2 linked regions of the Rhinolophus ferrumequinum genome follow. The protein of the gene in region 1 binds, or shares a complex with, the protein of each later gene. Links are inferred from orthologs where the notes say so. Each region holds a gene or a part of one and is shown on either strand. Other genes may lie near its edges.

Region 1 (9,826 bases):
ATGTTAGACAGTTTTCTTCTATTTTTGAATATATTAGATTTCAATGCATATGTTCATTAAAAATTATGACAATTTTTTCTTTTTTTATTATTGGTTTAGGTGGTTCCATCTCTCAGGAATGTTTGTTTTTGGGAAATGTGTATATATTTTCAGCTTAACAGGTTTTGAAGAAAACTTGAATTGGAGAACCCAGTTGTGGCACAGAATAGGCTAATTTGTAATTTGTTCCCAAACTGTTCTGTAAGAATTTAGTTTCACTGACCTTCCTTGCTGAAACTTCCAGTGGGTGATTGGGGTGGTGGTTGGGGAAATGTTTCTCCAGGGTGAATGATTCAGACTTAGGAAAAGCGTTATGCATTGTAGAATGCTTAGAAGGGATAGGATTTCCCAAAGATGGGCAGAGATTCCTAAGAGGGCTATAGGGACAGGTAAACCTGGTGTTGCCCCCTAGAATTAAAGAGTGTTATTCTGGTGCTCCCTTTTGGATTTTGTAAAATATGTTGGGCTCAGCTTTAAGTCTCCATGCCTACATTATAATTCCTTAGGGTCAAAAGTCAACATACCAAACAAAACAGAAACAGACTCACAGATACAGAGAATAAACTGATGGTTGCCAGAGGGGAGGGGAGTGGGGGTATGGATGAAAAGGGTGAAGGGGAATAGGAGGTATAAACGTCCAGTTATAAAATAAATAAGTCACGAGGATATAATCTATAGCATAGGAAAAACAGTCAACGATATAGTAATAACTTTGTATGGTGGTAGATGGTTACTGGACTTATTGTGGTGATCACAGCGTAAGGTATATAAATGATGAATCCCTATGTAGTATACCGGAAGCTAATATAAGACAGTATGCCAACTATACTTTAAAAAAATCAACATACCCTTTTGCCCTGTGCCATGCACTGTGCCTTCAAAACGGAAGAGAAATAAAGGAATGGTGGGTCTAGCCACACCCATCTCTTGGCCAGCTCTACTATGGTGGGGTCTGTGTCCAGAAGTCCCAGCAATTGAGAAAGGATGAGGTATGTAGCCTTTTATACCTTTTAGTTGTGGGATTGATTCAGGGACCTTCTTGAAGGGACTTGACAAGATGGAAAGATAATACCTTTGTGTTACCTATGATGCAAGTTTTGTAAACAAAGCAATACTGTCAACAGGATTGTAAGGTAACCATTTGCCTGTTGAGACCATCGTCTGTCTATGAGGCAGGAAGCCTTTGCTCCTAGAGTCTATACCTGGAAGGTAGTTTCCTTGGTCAGTGGAGTGGGCCTGGAGAAGCCAAAACCGTGAAGAAGCCAAAGGCTGTTTATCAAGCACCCCAGTGAATGAGTCATGTGTGTGGACTTTTGTCACCACACCTGAGAGTCTGAGGCAAAGGAGAAAGACAAGCTGCCATTCCTCTCCCCTTTCTGCTTCTCCCTTGGGATAACTCATTAGCCCACCCAAAGTCCCCAGAGATGATTTTTGAGTTAGTGTTCCCACAGTTGGGAGATACTAAGGTGCTGTGGACACGAGTGATTGGCAGTTAGCAGGGTAGTGAAAGTCTCTCCCTTGGCATGTCCTGCTTCCCTACCCCTAGCACTGGGCTCTAGCTCTGTGCAAAGGGGAATTCTTCCCAGCTGCTCCTAAAAGACAATCTGCACTCACGATCTAACTGCACAGGTGTGAGCTGCCTGCAGAGAGGCCCAAGGCCAGGCTGGTGACTGGGAGTCCGGCACTCTCTGCTCTGCTGCTTTGGGAGAGGACAGGTGGCTAACTTGTCCAGTCTAACCTGCCGGGCGCCTTGTCCACGTGCTCAGGGCAGATTGAAACTCTTTTCCTCTTTCAGTCTGAGCTAGAGGCGGGGTGAGAGACAAGAGCAGTCATCTGGCCGCACCCTAGCTGTGGGAGGTTTCTACAAACACTCCTGGAATTCTGTGAACCTGTGGGGTCTGTCGCCACAGGACCGGGGACTGTGGGTCTGTAAAATTGGGAGAAGACAGACTCTTGCTCCAGGGTGGTCAGTGAGAGAGTCTTGAGGGACAGACAATATGTTCTGGCTGGAGGAGGGGAGAAAAGGTCCACCCCAGCATGTAGGGAGCAGTAAGCCAGCTCTTAAACACACCCCATGCTAGAGCTCCTGGCGTCTCTCTTCTCTGACAAATGTCCAATTCCTGCCTCTAGTGAACCCCACTCCTCTGAGTTAACCCCTGCCTGTGTCCATTGTCTAGAGAAGAACCTTAATCTCAATTTCTCAGGAGTGGCCAGGCAGTCTTGCCCTCCCCCAACCTACCACCTCTGCTTTAACCATAGAGCCTATTTGTGTCTAACAGAAACCCAAACACATGAGGTCACAAGGTGCTCATAATTTTTCCTCCCACCAGCACCGTGAACTCTCCCCACACCAGCCCCTTGTCCTCCAATCCTGTCCAAGGAATGCTTCGTGTCATACTCAGTCTGCGAGGCTGTCCAGCTAGGTTTCATTCCTGGCTCTCTTTATTTTTGCGCGCTGCACTAACAGAGTGAATGTTGGGCAGGAGGGGAGGCCAAAGTTGAAAATCTTTATGCCCAGGGTCAGTTTTGACCCTAAATCCCTGACTTTGTCCAGCTGGAATGTAATGGAGCAGGACAGGTAGGACAACCAAGAGGGAAGTGTATGCCTTATTTAATGCAGTGCCAACATAGAATAGACACCAAGGATGGGTAAGGGCTGGGACAGAATGGGGTTGCAGGCAGATGTCCCCAGGGGAAAATGAAGGAAGATATCTGGCTGTGACCTGCCATGCTATTGGCTGCTAGGCTACTGGTGCTCATACCGGCCTTACAACCTGAAGCACAGCCTGATCAAGCCACTGCTCAGAATCCTCTGAAGGCTGGCTCACCTGGTCTAACACTCTGGTATAAACTCCTTAGCCTGGTGTTCATGATCTGCATGAGCTGGGCCCACCTACCTTGGCTGTTTTACCTCCACCACCTGCCCCCCAGTGCCCTCCTAAAATATTCCACATTCCAGCCCCAATGGGGTATTCATAACCCCTAAACATGCTGTGAATTCTCTGGACCCCACACCTTTGCTTAGGCTGGTCTGTTCTCTCCTCCTGAAATGCTCTTCCCCCATGTCCCCTTTTCTGTCCGTTAAATCTAGTATATCCTTTAGGACCCAGGGCAGTACTACTTCCTTCATAACAATCCATCTACGTAGAGAAATCACTTTGTCCTCAAAACAACCAAAGCATTTGGTTAATACAGGACTTCCTTTATAGTGTTTTTCATAGTGTGCCTTGGAACTGGATCTCATTCAAAGGTAGCACCTAGCACAAAGTAAGTTTTCAATAAATTTTTATGGTGATGAATGGAGCCATGAGGTTAACAGATCATCATGAAGGGAAAATATCACCAAAACAACAGAGTTCTGTCTGTTAGGCTTTCCTGCCATTTACATGTCTGGTGCCTTCTTTCCTTTCCCCTTCTGATCACCATTAAATATTTACAACATACTAAATAGGCTTTTCCCATACTGTAAGCTGCCCTCAATTGCAAATCTGAGGCACAAAGTCTGTGTTGTAACTTCCTACATGGCAAAAGAAAACACTATGTATTCATGGTTAGCTGGAATAATCTGCAAATTTTTCAGTTCCATAGCAGTTCCCAAGGACTTACTGTGTACCCAGGTTTCTGCTAGGGGTGTGGAAGAGACAAGTTAAATAAGTCATCACCTGGTCCCTGCCATGAAAGGGGGCTATTGGAAGCCAAACCTTAGAGAAACCCGAGTGAAGCCTTGTAGTGGGAAGAACTTGGGTAGGCAGAGAGGTTGGTAGGGCAGCCACAGGACACCCAAGTGGTACAGGCCTGGAGGTGGTTACCTGGGCTACAGTTTGTTGGGGAGATAGAGGAGAATGAGTCAGGGTGGGGCCAAAATAGGAATGCCTTGAAATCTCAGTCTGAAGTTAATGCAGTTAATGCAGGTGAGGCAACACTGTAGGATTTCAAGCAGGTTAGTTAGCACAGCAATATGCCATGTGGACTGGAGGGAGGAGAGCCTAGAGATCAGGGGGAAACTAGTAGCTATCCAAGATTGGGGTTCTGAGGATCTGGAAGAAACAAGGGACGCAGCATAAACACTGGATGGGAGTCAGGACACCTGGGTTCTAGTCCTGCCTCTGTTGTGGGGATTTGAATCAGTCACTTCTCTGCTCTGGGCCTTTTGTTAACAGTAAAACCTAAAAACCTTCAAAGTGACCTTTCCTTTGAAGTAGGGTATTGGGAATGAAGGGAATAAGCCAATCTAATGGACATTTGGAACAAAGAAGTAACTAACTGGAGCCCAGAGGTAAAGAGCAGGGGGAATCCAAGAGGGTACAGCCAAGAGAAATGGGGAACTGGGGTTGGGCGGAGCCTCTGCTCCTGACGTCTGGTTTGGCAACCGCGTTTTCAATTTTCTTTCTTCCCCTTTCCTAACTTAGCCTGTTAGCTTCACCTTATTTGGTGAAAGCAGGGCAAAATAGGACACCTCCACATCACCTCATGCCCTGCCTCCCACTTTACCTTCCCCTTTTCAGGCCCTCAAATGATCCTCCTCCTTTGCCACCCACCTGGCACCATCCCAAAACCCACCTTCCTCCGGAGTAATTACCCCTGCGGCCAAAGTAGAAAGAGCAGTGAATTTGGGGTCATGTTATTATCACCCTCATGGCTACAGTTTATTAAGAAATCATCACATGCCAGGCTATAGTATTTTCTTATAGCAATTCTAGGAGGTGATTGTTATCTCATTTCACAGATGAAGAAACTGAGACCAAAAGATGTTAAGTAATCTGTGCAAAGTCACACACGTGCCAGTGGGCAATGCCAGACTGGAAATGAGGTCTGAGTCCCAAGTCAGTGCTTGGGACAGCTCCGATTGGATGGTTTGACCTGTGGCAGTTGGGGATCCCTCACCTACAACCTCTGAAGCCAGAATTCTCTAAGCCCCGCCCCTGCACTCGCCGCGTCAGCTCGAGGGCCCTGCAGGGCTTGCGCGGCAGAGGTCGGGCCCGCGCAGGTGGGGCTAGCGGCGCGGGGGGCGGGGCCGTGCCGGGGGAGGCGGGCCCTGGCGGGGGCGTGGCCGGAAACCTTAAAGTGGCCGGGGTGGCGGGGCGGGCCGTGAAGGCCGCGAGTCGCTGCGATCTTCTTTACGCTTTGGAGCAGATCACGGCGTGGTCACCATGTCCCTGGCGGCCTCGGGGGGCCGTGGCCCTGGGGCCGTGTGGTCCCCAACACACGTGCAGGTGACGGTGCTGCAGGCACGGGGTTTGCGGGCCAAGGGCCCCGGCGGCACGAGCGATGCGTACGCCGTGATCCAGGTGGGCAAGGAGAAGTACGCCACCTCGGTGTCCGAGCGCAGCCTGGGTGCGCCGGTGTGGCGGGAGGAAGCCACCTTCGAGCTGCCGCCTCTGCTGTCCGCCGGGGCCGCGCCCGCCACCGCTGCCACCCTGCAGCTCACCGTGCTGCACCGAGCGCTGCTTGGCCTCGACAAGTTCCTGGGCCGCGCGGAGGTGGACCTGCGAGAGCTGCACCGGGACCAGGGCCGCAGGAAGACCCAGTGAGTGCGGGACAGGGGAGAGGACCCGGAGCTGAGGCGCGGGCAGTGCGGGGTGGCCTGGGCGCTGAGACCCTTTTAGAGTGAGCGCTGTAGTCACGGCGCTGCTGTGACCCAAGGGGACGGGCGGAGAGAGGCTTTGAAAGAGGGGTCCCCTGGACCTGTAGTAGCATGCTCACCTAGCTTCAACTTCTCTTTCGGCTGTCCCACCCCAGCTCTCCCAGTATGTGGGCTCTGAAAGTAGTGGGGGTACCCGGGGACTTTTTGATTCTTCAGGACGTCGCTCAGCGCCTGGAACTTAGTAAGCACTTAAACGAATTTTTGGTGAATTGAAAATACATCTGGGCAGACGAATTCCTATTATTATTAGTGTGGGTAGTATGTATATTTGATACACTCATTAGCTTATGTGGAAAGCCGCCTGGGTATTTCACTGAACTGGACACTAAGCTCAGACTGACTGGGCCAGTGCGCAGTGTGGATTCAATGGTGGAGTGAAACCCTCTGACGCTTCCTAGCCCTAGAGGCTCAGCCAGGGAAGGAGCAAGGACATTACAGTGTGGGGTGGGTGGACATGGGGGCTGGGGAGTGGGGAATGCAGCTTGTCCTGCGATGGCCATCTCTCACCTCCACCTCACCACCACCTAAGGGGTTGGTGAAGAAATTTGCTCCCCCTCCCCCATCTTCTACAATGCTGGAACAGCTTGGTCTTAACTTTCAGACTGAAAAATATTAACCCTGTTTGCCCTGGGCCACAAATTAGTAAGAATTTGCCAGAGATGGCTGGAGCCAGGGTCTGCCCTTGGCCCAGTGGAACTGGCGAGTAGGCATTGTTTTTCTTTGGAGTTTGTCAAAGTTCTCTCTGGTCCTACTACCTACAGATAGCTGCTCTCTCAGTCAAAAGTTCTGTGTTACCATATCTGCAGGAAAGCTGGGCAAAACCCATTTCACTCCAGGGTGTTGGTGGTTCTCTTTCACAGGTGTTTGGAATGGAGCATTTGATTATGGAACATTTGATTATGCTCATCTAGAATACCAAAAGCTAGCCTCAGGTAGCTTAATTGGTTGCTTTGCTGGACCTTAAATATACAAGCCAATCATACTACCACCTACCCCTACAGTTTATGAAGCACACTGATTCACATTGTGTGTTTTAGATATAAACAGTATTTTAACTTTCCCTTGTGAAGGAGACAGGAAAAACCAGAGGGTTTGAAGTTACCAGACTCCCTTTTCTGTAAGGTAGGTCCAGTTTCAGCATGCATGCTTGCAAATGTAATACCTGATTCGCTTATCTGGCCAAAGGTGAATGGGCATTTCTGAACTCAAATCAGATAAAAATAGAGAGCCTTGAGGTGAGGATTGATGGGGTATCTTCATGGCATCAACTTACAAACCATAAGGTGAGCAGTGTCTTTGCTAAGGAGGGGCTGAAGCAATGCTAATTTTCCATTTGATTAAATGCTATTTGGGGCCTTGGGTTGGCTTCCTTTCCTGCTTTAATTGGGCACTGTTGGCAGTCCTTTGTCTGGTCCCAAACCAAGATCTGTGGATATTATCATCTGTCTCTGCCATCTGTTTCTTATAGGAACATTTTATTTTCTTGAAAGACCACATCTCCCTGCCAGAGATGGGTACTCTAGATTCCTGGGTCTGGTGCCCACTCTGGTCCTGACTCATTGTTGGGCTTCAGGCTGCTTAGTCTCTGAACACCCAAGTTTCCCTATTTATAAATGGAGCTTGTTGCCTGACTTAATTGATGTTTGTAAGCTGTTTCTGGTTTCCTGGATTAATGGAACCCATGTATAGATTCAAAAGACCTTGGGTCAAAAGGTTCTGTTACTGCTTTGTGAGGAAAGAAAACATCCCTATTTCAGGAAGGGTTTAGTCTTCATCTTCATTTTCTCATCCTCTCCAGTGTAATCCTAAACCTAGATGGTTACTCTTGTCTCTATTATATGAGCTGATTACCACTTAGCCACAGTATCAGCTTGTAGGAAAATGGTGCTTAGTTGACGGGTTTTTTTAATAAACTGCAATGGAAGGCTTCTTTGCTCCTCTAGCAGTAGGTGAAACTGCATGCTTTCCATCTCTCACTTCTTGGGACTTTCCAAGGTGCTGGGGGGGAACCCAGTTAAACTAAGCCTGTCTGATGCCTGGGTACATAACTTGGGTGCTCAAGACAGCTGAGATATGGAGAATGCAATATAAACTGAGAGACGGAACTTTAACAGAATGAAATTGGTTGGACTAGGAAAGTTGTTTGAACCAGTTATTAACGGTTTGACTACACTGTAGATATTAAAAACCAGAAACAAAACAAAAGCTCAAATCGTGGTCTTTAGGTTTGTGTGTATGTGCAAAGAAGATTGCTGCTATAGAGTATGACTTTTGTCATGGGTCCAGAAGCTAAAACTCAAGGCATGAAGAGCTAACTGTACTAATATTTGTATTTGTTTTCTTGATAAGCCCCCATCCACCATATATTTGGAGTTAAGAGAATAAGCTTTTTATAATGACTCAGATTTTGCAGACCTCAAATTTAGTGTGATGACACACATCTTTGAAACATCAAACAGAGGCTGACATATAGATAGCATACATTTAATAGGGAAGAGTGCATAGCCCCTTTAGTTAGGAAGAAATAGAAATGAATTGGTTTTGCACTTATACTTATCAGTTAAAGACTTGGGGTCTCACTTGGGCCTTGGTTAAATGGAAATCAGTTAAGTCTCATGGTCATAAAACAGATATGAATCTAAGGGGTAGAATCAGGTGACTAATGTGGATTCCCTGCTCAACTCTCTAATCTCATGTAGTTTGGGGTCCTACATTGACATAAAGAAAATCATTTTAGGATACTAAGAGCAATATTTGGGGAAATTACCTGTTGAAGACAGGTTAAAATAAATATTCATTCAGGCTGGTGACTGGAAGGCCATTGTGTAATTAAATATCATAAAACTTAACACTTTAGTAGTCTTTCAGATACAAAGAGAGTGTGACAGTCACTTTCTTATATCTTTAAGATTTAAGAGGGAATTTGGTTGTATATGAAAAAATCTTTGATATTAATAAAGGTTAGTATTTTGAAGAACTGTAAGTGTAATAAGATGCTGTAATAAGTTGACAAAGAAAATTTGGGTTATTAAAAAGAAGTAAGCATTAGAGAGTTGTTTTTCTGGGATAGTTGGATGCAGGGAGATGCCTTAGGTTGTGTTCATACCTTTAGGTTTCCTAAGCACACTGACTTTTTTCGTAACAGACTGGAAAATTTGAGCGATGCTGTCACTGGTTAAGTTTTTCCTTTCGTGGGATTCCCCTTAAAGATAATATTGGGCCTTACTGGAAACCCTCCCGCCTCTCACTCTGCCACCGTCCCCTCCCACTCCATTGTAGGAAACTGATAGCTCAATGCCCAAGACAATTCTCTGTCTGTTCTGGGATAAACCATAACCTGCTTATGGCAGTAGAATGAAATGACCAAGAAGGGGGAAGTTAGTTACCTTAACTCATTGTTTTGGTACTGTGAAAGATGTCCCTTCGTGTTTTTAATGCTATTATTTGATTATGATTTCGTTTGTAAGACATTCAATTAGCATGGGGAAAGTTCTGGGTTTTTTTTCTTTGTCTTTAAAATTCATCCATAGTTTTCATAAATATTTTTTAATGCATACTATGTGCTAGGTACTGGGTATACATTGTAAATATTGGAAAGCAGACATAATCCCTGCTTTCAGGAAGCTCAGAGCCTTGTCAGGGAAGATACTAGACATTAAACAAAAGAACACATAAATAAATAATCACGTATGGTGATAAGTACTGTGGAGGAAGAGAACAGGGTATCATAAGAGAAAGGAGCAGAAAGCACATGTTTTAAAGAAGGAGACTCGAGCTGGCCCGGTGGCTCAGGTGGTTGGAACTCCGTGCTCCTGACGCCTACGGCTGCCGGTTCGATTCCCACCTGGGCCAGTGCCAGATGGCTCAGTTGGTTGGAGCATGGGCTCTCAGCCACAAGGTTGCGGGTTCGATTCCTCAACTCCCATAAGGGATGGTGGGCTGTGCCCCCTGCAACTAACAAGGGTAACTGGACCTGGAGCTGAGCTGCACCCTCCACAGCTAAGATTGAAAGAACAACAACTTGACTTGAAAAAAGTCCCGGAAGTACACTCTGTTCCCCAGTAAAGTCCTGTTCCCCTTCCCCAGTGGAATCTTTAAAAAAAAAAAAAAAAAAAAGGAGACTGCAGATAGCGGCAGAGACCT
Region 2 (10,482 bases), on another chromosome or scaffold:
CTCCCAAAACCATATTTTTTCCTCCATAGTAAACCCTTCCCTCATCGTCCCCTGCCACCAAGTATATAATACAACACAATAAAATCTTGTCCCTGTTGGAAGAAGACCCTCCATGAGTCTCTTGTGTTTTTGCACATCTTGCAAGCAGAGGCACTGACGTCACTTGTCCTAGACTATCTTTTCAAGGGTGTTTGTAGAGCAAACAGCCTTTGAAGATAGTTTCCCTCCAGAGCAAAGGACAGATGCTTATTCTGTACTATAAAAGATTTGGTTTCCCTAAGTTCAGGGTTCCTCTCCTGTAACACACTGTGTTCAGACATCCAGGAACCGATGTAAAGATGCTAATGCTCGTGCTTCATATCATGATGTGAACAATGAAGTCCTTTGTCTCTGACCTAGGAAGTCTCGTGTCTTCTGCCTGTATCCGTGAAACTGCATTAGGCTGTTAGCTTGCAACTAGGGTTAAGATTTCAGTTTTTGGCAGCACCTGCCATATTTTGTGCCATGTGGAGAATCACCGTGTTTCATACAGCTGTGTCACACCACACATGCTTTCAACTTACATTATTTCAACTAAATGTACAAGGTCAAAAAAGCAATAAAGAAAATGTAAATACTGTTCTGCCCTCCCTTAGTCTAAATAACTGTATGCCTTGGAATCAGCATGTGATGAAAGAATTGAATCTGCTATTTTCTTAGGTCTTAGTTTTCACGTAGATATTATGGCGTGGTCATTTTGCCACACTGAGAGTGATTCTTAAGTTCAAAGATGTATATTTTTCATGCAACATGGCCTTTAAATCTAAATCACCGACTTCTTCCGGTGCTCAGCCACAGAGACAGCTACCATATCCAACAATGGAGGAAAACTCAGTCTCCAGTGCAGAGCTCTCCTGAAAAATTTTCAAGTACACTTTTCACCTTATGTGATTTTTGTTGTTCTTGTTATGGATTAACTTTAGAAGCTCTGAGTCCAGAGGATTACATTACGGGGGAAGGGGATCAGTATAAGGCATGGGGGGAAGAGAACTATTTTCATGGTCATGAAATTTCTTTTATAATTGAATACAGCATATACATATCCTTACATTTATACATCACTTTTTTCTTTAGTATTGTACATTTGAATCCTTTTGCATATCCAGAGACTAAAGAGTTCCACGCACTTGATTTTGTGTTCTGGGTCAGCCTGCTAAATTTTGAAGTATATCAATTGCCATTTCTTTTTTGATTAATATTTCTAATTATTTGTTTTCACTTAATTGAATTATGTATCACTGCAAGCTAATCAATTACATTTGAAAATATATTAGTTTTTTTTAAAAATTAGGTAGCACATGCACATGGTAGTAAATTTCAGAGTATAGATTGTATTGGTTCTGCTGCATCTTCAATGTTACCTTAGAAATTGGGACACCAATATTTTGATATCTGGTTCTGAATTGGTGGCAACTCCAAAATCACTACACAGAAAGGGGTGAGCATAGAGACAGAGAAAAAAAAATCTACAATCCAAGATAAGCTTCTGAACCAAAATTCTACAACATATGAGGAAAATTAACAAATAAGATTAACCCTACACAACCAATAAAGAGATGAATTAATTAGATTTAAATAAACACAATTGAGAGATTTGAAAATGATTTAAATGCTTAGGTTCTGGAAAAAGATAAAGAATAGAATAACACCTATTGCTACCAAAGAACTTATAAAAATATATACAGGTAGAAATGAAACAAGAACAGGTGGATACGACAAAGAATCAGTACCTGGAGTGATCTCATGCATCTCCCTTAGGAATGGGTGACCCCTCACGCATTTGCTGAATCTTCCAGCTGAGGGCCAGCTTGAACATCTCTGTTGTTCTCCAACCTAGGACTGGGAAGTCAAGGTGTGTGTGAACATGGTGGGTGGGGGCAGTTTTAGTCCCTCTCCATCTAGAGCCCTCCACCATGATATCCAAAGCCGCCTGCTATGTGGTCTCTCTCCGTTTGTGTTTTCCTTTGCTTAGGAAGCAATGGGGCAGAGCACATCAGTAAGCCTGCTACCCAAACATGTATCTGGGGGGTTGCCAGTCTCCTCTGCCTGCAGGCACACCTAACGTTCACTAGTGAGTCTCATGGAGGGGGAGGAAGGGATGTGATTCTCACGGAGGGAGAGGAAGGCTTCTTTTCAGAACACTGCATTTTCCTAAAGGCTACGTGCCCTCCCTTCTCTCCATTCTTTCTTTCCACTATTTAGTGGTGACGTTTGTCTGTGAGGAGAGGGGTGGGAATGAGGAATAAGTGGGGTTGGTGTAAGGGCTGGTAGAACAATAAAGGCTCTTCAAATGCCCCGCTGGAATATAGATAGTACCAACCATTGGCAATTTTTTTTTAATTAAAGTTTATTGGGGTGAGAATTGTTAGTAAAGTTATATAGATTTCAGGTGTAGAATTCTGTATTACATCATCTATAGATCACATTGTGTGTTCACCACCCAGAGTCAGTTCTCCTTCCATCACCATATATTTGATCCCCTTTACCCTCATCTACCACCTCCCTCCCCGCCGCAATTCTTTAAATGTAGAATGTGGGCCCCTATGGACTTTTTGGTTCAGATTTGGGCCTCAGCAGCAGTTTCAGTACAACAGGGAAAATGCCCCTCAATGTCTAGTGACATAAGCACATATGTCTATTTCCCATTCCTTTTATATTTTAAGAAACGTTAGCATACGTTTAGTTTTCTGAATCTTTTTTTTCCACCTGAGGTATTTCTTAGAGATTGTCCTATATACATGTGCTTAATATTTTGAAATTGCTGCATATATCACAATATGTACGAAAATTTATAACAGCCATCTAGTGATAGTTTGTCTCTAGTCTTTTGCTATGACAAACAGTGCTGCAATGAATATTTTGTATATATATCTCCTTTCACATAAATAGCTTTTTAAAAACCGTTACTTAGAACTACCCTGACAGAAGTTTGGCAGGAAAGACGGTCCTTTTTTATGCTGCAATTGGTCACACACAGTTTCTCATAACTGAAAATTCTGTGGCTTATCACAAGAATCGACGATTTCTACTTTAACTGCATTGCTTAGCATGTGACAGGCACTCTGCATTTACAACAACGTTTCTCTTTAATGCTGCCTCAAAGTGTAATGTCTCTGACAGACTTACGCAACAATTAGGGATCTACAGTTAAGCTGTTACAAGTGCAAATAAGGGATGAATACCATGTTTCCCTGAAAATAAGACCTAACCGGAAAATAAGCCCTAGTATGATTTTTCAGGATGACATCCCCTGAACCTAAACCCTAATGCGTCTTTTGGAGCAAAAATTAATATAAGACCCGATCTTATTTCCGGGGAAACACGCTATGGAGTGGTGCTTAGGAATGGGGGTTCTGAAGTCATACATGCTTGAGTTCAAGTCCCACCACTGCCAGTTTTTGCCTATATGACTTTAGACGTGTATGACACTCAGTTCTCTCATTCATAAAATAGGGCGAATGTAGTACTGACTTCATGGGGGTGCTGTAGGGATTAAATAAGAAAATATTCACTATTCTTAGGATACTTCCTGGCACATAGTAAGTGTTCAATAAGCATTAGCTATGCATTCAGGGACAAATGGATACACAGAAACTTTCTAGCCAGACCTAAGTTCATAGCTGGACAAGTAACAGCAATTAATTCACAGCTTTCTCTATTTGGCATAGGCAAATTTCTTGATTTCAGAGATGTTAAACTGTGACCACAAACAAACTACACTTGTTAGAATTAAAGAACATAGGAATAGAAGCATAGACCTATAGGGATGGAAGGGATTTCAATATTACTTTATATTATCTTGTGATAACTATTCCATGTATTAAATCCTTGTATGTCAAGCATTCTGCATATATTATCTCATTTAATTTTACAAGGACCCATGGGAGATAGATATCATCATTCTTCTTTTGCAGAAGAGACTGAGGATCTGAGAAATCAAGTGACATGTCCAGTGGCAACGTATCATTACTGTGTTTCCCCAAAAATAAGACCTAGCCAGACCATCAGCTGTAATGCGTCTTTTGGAGCAAAAATTAATATAAGACCCAGTCTTATATTATATTATATTATGTAAGACCGAGTCTTACAGTATAGCATAGTATAATATATTAGACCCGGTCTTATACTAATATTATATTATAGCAAGTCTTATATATTATATTACATTATATTGTATTATATTATATTGTACCGGGTCTTATATTAATTTCTGCTCCAAAAGACACATTAGAGCTGATGGTCCAGCTAGGTCTTATTTTCAGGGAAACAGGGTAGTAAGTTGTAGAGCAGGAATTTGCACCCAGGTCCTTCTGAAAATAAGATTTGTAAATTGCCATACATTTTTCCAATGAAATCCCACTTGCCCATGGCAAAACTAGCTTATGAAAGGTATTAAATGCCACCACGAGTGAGCTTGAACTTCATTTTGGGGGATTGAGGCAGAGTGGTGTTATCCATTAGGCACAGTGCCTAAGGCCCATAATACTTTTAGGGGCCCACAATGTTTCAAGTGCTTTTAAAATCAGAAGAGAAAAACGAACTTTTAGGTTGAAGAAAATGTTTTGCGCTTTAATATATTCATCCATACCAATGCAGTTGTAAAATATGAATTATATATATAGATCCACAAGCACAAGGAAAAAGTGCCTAGGACCCACGAAAATCGTAACACGGCCTTGTACCGAGGTGGGCTAAACTTTCTGGGAAGGTGATAATAAGCAGACCAAATTGGAAGATGGGGAGGTGGTGGATAAATTGTGAAAAATGTGGTCACAATTTCTCTCCTCCCATCAAAGATACCCCCAAAGAGAGGTTAAACGGGACACAGGCGAAACATAGGGCAGAAAGTGCCACTTCCTAGCTGCATGATCTTGGACAAGTGACTTGATCAATCTGACCCTCAGTTTCGCTGTCAATAAAATGGGAACATGTACTCCCTGGGGTTGTTGGACAGGGACCTAGTGTGCCTTGCTCGCCGCTATGTACGAAGCGCTCAATAAACACATGCTGAGTGAAGTAATGTGTACTTATCACAGTGGCTGGTGGACCGTAAGCGTCCTGTCAGTGGTAGTTGCTGGCATTAAACATTGTAAAAAGTCCTCAAAGCGACAGCCCTATCCTGAAAGACCCAGACGTACCTCAGCAGCTTCTACGCGGACCTGCGCAGTAAACTGCGCTTGCGCATAAGCGCTTTCCTCCGCCCCTTCGAGCGTGAGGGCCCGTGGGGCGGGCTCCGGCGGCGGCGCGACAAGTCCAGGAGGGAGGATTGAGGAAGAGGCGTGGCTAGTAGGCCGGGCCCCAGCCACCTCCTTCCGAGCTCCGCCAGTTGCGCGCGCATCCTCCACCCCCCTTCTTTTGTGGTCCGGCCCATTGCGAGGGTGACAGGAAACCCTGTGCAGGGAGCGCCGCCATCTTGGACCTGCCCGAGGAAGATCCTGAGGGAGCCGCCAGAGCAGTCGCCGCTGCCACCGCTACTGCCGCCAGTGCGTCTGCACCCCTTCGGCTCGCCCGCTACCTGCCGGGGCCTCGGCCGACCCCCTCCGCCCCTCTCCCGCTGCTCTCGCACTCCTCTTCCTCGTCCTGACGCCCCCCTCCCTCCCGGAAAGCTGCCCAGCCACCAGCAACCCCCCAGGTAACCCAGGCCTTCCGCAGTGTCCCTCCGGCCGCGGCCTCCTCGCCCGGCTCTCCGATGGCAGGGTGTAGGGACGACAGCGAACCCTGGCCGCGGGCAGGCGGCGCCGCAGGGCCGGCCCTGTCAGGCCACGGCGAGCCCGGGGTCGCCCCGGTGCCCGGCCTTCCGGGACTCCCGTGGGGGGCGAGGGTGTCCCCGCGCTGCGCCCGCCTCAGCCTCCGGTGCTCCTCGCCCAGCGGAGAGCTTCGCGGCGTGCCGGGCAGGGTGTGTTCGGCGGGACTGGGCAGACTGGCCTCGCCGCAGGCCCCTCTCCTGGCTGCGGTTCCCGGAGGCTGCGGACCACCCCCGCGGTAGTTACGCACGCGAGCCGCGCCGCCCTGCAGCCCACGAACCCCAGACGTGGCAGTCCCCGTCCCTTAGGCCGCTCTGGCCCCGAGTACAAAAGGCAGCACCTCGCAACGTCGCCGGCATGTTGGACTGGCGCCGGTGCCCTTGTGGATGTGGGCAGACCGTCTCTGGGCTCGGGCTGGGTGGAGGAGGAGGTCTGGGGGTCGGTGCTTGCGAGGTTCCGGTTTGGGTGAGCCCCTCAAAGGCCCCTGACATGCTCTGAGGCCCTGAGCCCGGATAGCATCGAGAAATAATGAAGATCAAAAGTTTTGGCATTTCGAGGATTGAAGAAGGAACAAGCATGTTTCGATGGTTTTCACTTCACTGTGTGCCAGGCACCGGATTTAGTCGTCTTCGGACAGATTTATTTTAGCTCGTGGTGATAAGTCGAGTTATCTCCATGTTACAAGTGAGGAAACTGAGGCTTGAAGTTGTGATGTGGCTGGTTAACGACGGTGCCGGCAAACTCGCCTCTCCCTCCACGGTGGCTGGTTTTTACTGCACTCGGGTTAGGCTTGGGTTCACAGACACGACCATTTAAAAAGTAGCTACAGCTTGATTGCTTTTTTCCTGTTTTTGCCTTGAATGACAGCTGATGACTCCCTTATAACCCCAAAGTCTGTCGCGTCAGCGACTACACTGCCAGTCCGCATTCTCACTACCCCACAGAGGAGATGGCAAAATTTCCATCCTATATCTGTAGAAGAAACGGGGGGTTGCCAGAGAACAAGTGCTTTCCTGGTGGCCCCACAGAAATTGTTAGAGCCCACATTTGAACTTTTACAAAGTTGGCTGCTCGTTTCATTAACTGTCTCCACCACCTTTTATCTAAATGTGGTTGTCGAGGACAAACCTTGCAATAATCGAGCTCCCACTCCTCCTCACCCCAAGACTTCCCCCAAATGTTTCCTCAGGGTTTTGCTTAGGCCCTGTCACTTGGTCATGCCTTGACAAATGTAGTGTACTTTGACTTTCTAGTTCAGTGACTTTAAGCAAGTTACTTAACCTCTCAGACTCAGTGTCCTTATCTATATCGGGGATAATAGTACCTACATTTTAGAGTTGTGGGGATTAAATGGAATTAAAAGCCTTTCGTATGTTGCTTGGCATATACGTAGTTAAGTGTCCCAATTGCATGTAGTGAGTGTTTTGTGGAAGAAATGAGAGGAGCATGACTTTTGGAGCGTTAGATCTGGGCCTAAATCTTAGCTTTCCCTTTAGTAGTTTATGATCAAGGATATATCACCCCTCTGAGCTCATTCCTTATCTGTAAAATGAGTTTTTACGGTTAGAGATGTTTATAAAGTAGCTGGAGTAATTAGGCACGCAGTAAGTGGCAGTTGCTTTAAAGATGTGAAACCTTAGATTCTAATAACCTAAAAAATTCCTTGGAAATAAAGCTACGTTTTAAAAAGTTTTGCTCGTTATCGTTTATGTTATGCTTTATAGTTGTGTTATGCTTCAACTATGCAACAGAATTTGGGGTGTTCTTACAATTTTTATCAGTATTAAATATCTGCATAATGTTAGTAAGATGTACTATTAGAGGAAACTTTTGGTTAAGACAAATAAAATGTGTTAAAACTAGGGCTATTGTGAGATGTTTAATTTTTTTTAAAAAGCTTGAAATAGTACGTGGTTAAAAATGCCAGGCATGGCTGGAGACAACAGTGTGTAAATAGAAGTATCAAAGATACTGTGCTTTACTTTTTAAAAACTTTCTATTCTAGATAATTTTATACAACATAGAGTAGCATGCTGAGCCTTTACATACCACCTATCAGCCAGTGTCAACAGTGAGCAGTCTTGTGTTATCTATATACACCTTTACCCTCTCCACCAACTTCTTTTGAAGCAAATCTCAGCATAGCATTTCGTCAGTAAATTTTTCACTATTACTAATCTTAACGGTAGTAGGAAGTGCAGGGTTTTTTTGTTTTTGTTTTTTCCTATATACTTTCCTTCTATGAACAGAGATGCTGTACTGGAGTACTTTGTTTCCTATTCATAGCAAGCATACTATCATAGTTAGAAACATTTTGCTCTGCTCTTGACACATTAAGGAGTCCAGTTTTTTTTCTTACATTATTAATTTGTATAAAAGTGTAACATTAAATAACTTGTCAAAAGTGAGTTTTTTAAAGTGTGTTTCAGAAAATGGGTGGGCTGTTTTCAGAGGTTGTAATTCTATTGAGGAAAGGAAACTGACCACTCATTTTGATTAGATTAACTACCGAAAAGTTTTACGTCCACTTGCCTGACAAATCAAGTAGCATTCCACTTTACTGGGTCTATAAGCAAATCAAAATGCTTCTGTTCTTGAGTTCCATGTGGTAAGGACAGTGTGGGGATTTTTTTTTTTTTGGTTTTTTTTTTTTTTTGGATCATTACTATATTGTTAAAGTCCAGCACGAGGCTTTTGATTGCTAGATGCTCAACAAATATGTTTACATTGGAATCTCAAAAGCAGTCTGTCTTGGCTCTGGTGTTCTTAACAAGATGTCTTGCATGTAAAAAAAAAAAACTAATTTCAACAGTAAGGATCAGAATTTAAATCACCTGAAATAGTTAATGGGTTGTTTTTCTCCTGTGTTGTCTTGAGTCAGTTATGTAAAAATTACACAGTAACACCATGTGTTCTGAGGATTAGAATAAAATAGCTATATAACAGTTGTGAAAAGATTAGTCAGACATAGTGCATAAGTTAACACAGTAAGAATCCAAACTATATTCAAAAACAAAACAAAAAAACAGAAAAAATACCCTTGATTATCAGTGTGATTTTTGTTTGTATTTTGAGGCTGATTGGCTTCATATGATGGTCCCTGTATTATTGGTAAATGTAGAGGTAATGTTGGAAATATGAATGGGAGTTCTTTTTGTTCGTTATTTCATTTGTTTTATATCAGAATTGTGTGTAAAATGCTTTTAAAATATTTTAAAAATCCTTTATTTGTTCTACTTTTAATATTTAAGAACAGTACATATTCATACTATCAGAGCAGGGATATATAAAAAAAGTTAATAGTTTTCCCCTTCCCTTTTTCTACTCTCAGACCATGTATTCATTTTTCACAATTTGGGGTGTATCCTCTCCTGTTATATGTATATAGGATTGAGAGAGAGAATGTATGTTTAAAATGGGATATAATATTGCAAAAACCTCTGCAACAGGTTTTTTTTCACAAAATTTTTAACAAAATCATGGATATATTTCCAGTTAATACATATATTTCTAAGTGGTTTTTAAACTATGTGTATATTGTTTCATAGTACAGATGTACTTTATTCAGTCATTTCCCTGTTAATAGGACTATGGTTGTTTCCAGTTTTTTTTGCTGTAAAAACGCTGCATTAAATGCATTTGAACCCGTAACCTTGTGGACTGAAGCTTTTGTTTCTGTAGAGTATTTCTAAGTGAGTTTCTTGGCCAAAGGGTGATTTGGATTATTACTATTTTTTTATTTCTTTACGTGTACATCTTTGTTTTGTATTTATTTTTTATTTATAAATTCAGCACAAAGATCAGTTTCTCTGACCAAGTATAGATTTCTTTTTAAAAAAGATTTTTATTAAAATATAGCTAACATACAATATTATATTAGTTTTAGTGTACACCATAGTTATTCAACATTTATATACCTAAAAAAGTGATTACCATGATAAGTCCAGCAACCATCTGACACCATACCACGCTATCACAATATTATCAACTATATTCTTTATTCTATACTTCATATTGCCATGACTATTTCGTAACTACCAATTTATACTTCTTAATCTCTTCCCCTTTTTTACCCATCTCCCCCCAAAGCTCCTCCCATCTGGCAACCCTCAAAATTTTCCCTGTATCTATGAGTTTGTTTCTGTTTTGTTTGTTCATTTATCTTGTTCTTTAGATTCCACATATAAGTGAAAGCTGAGTTGGATTATTTTTTAACATTTTAAAATGTATACCGATTACTTCTCAAAAATGTTGTGGCAATTCAGACTCCCACAAGCAGAGGGTATGAAAGTGCCTACCTTCACATCTGTACCTGCAAATTTCAAAACTAATCATTTATATGTCTGTATAACTTTATTTGGAAAGGTGTTTGATTCAGTGTATGGAGACCATGCAATTCTGTTTTTGGCACAACAATGATTAAGTGTTTAATATGCATTTAGTAACTTCTCTCTCTCTCTCTCTCTCTCTCTCTCTCTCTCTCTCTCTCTCTCTCTCTCTCTCTCCCTCCCCCCCCTCCCCCTCCTGGAAATACATCTGTGATTTTGTTCAGTGAAAAAAAGCGCATTGTAGAGTTTTATGCAATAGCAAGCCCTAATTTAAAAGTTTATTTCTCATCCTAGCAGTGGAATGTTTCATTTTCAAGAGGTAAGGTTGAGAAATCCCTTGTTAAAGCAATATCAAGCATAGTTAATATTTA

What was found.
Region 2: the proteins of RAB11FIP1 (region 1) and RAB14 are in contact, whole or in part, in a crystal structure (PDB 4D0G), measured with the Homo sapiens proteins. The link is inferred for Rhinolophus ferrumequinum from reciprocal best matches to the Homo sapiens genes RAB11FIP1 and RAB14. Residues at the interface, in NP_001002814.2 of Homo sapiens: Glu1252, Ile1255, Asp1256, Asn1257, Leu1259, Val1260, Met1263, Pro1267, Asn1268, Leu1270, Arg1271, Ile1272; in NP_057406.2 of Homo sapiens: Leu28, His29, Ile44, Gly45, Val46, Glu47, Phe48, Gly49, Trp65, Arg72, Arg74, Ala75, Val76, Ser79, Tyr80.

Annotation. Positions count from the first base shown.
Region 1 is NC_046287.1:61,576,538-61,586,363, forward strand, and holds the start of RAB11FIP1 (rab11 family-interacting protein 1), read left to right. Parts: upstream 1-5,112; 5' UTR 5,113-5,189; coding exon 5,190-5,566; intron 5,567-9,826. UniProt on the Homo sapiens protein: A Rab11 effector protein involved in the endosomal recycling process. Also involved in controlling membrane trafficking along the phagocytic pathway and in phagocytosis. Interaction with RAB14 may function in the process of neurite formation.
Region 2 is NC_046295.1:71,585,393-71,595,874, reverse strand, and holds the start of RAB14 (ras-related protein Rab-14), read left to right. Parts: upstream 1-5,387; 5' UTR 5,388-5,671; intron 5,672-10,482.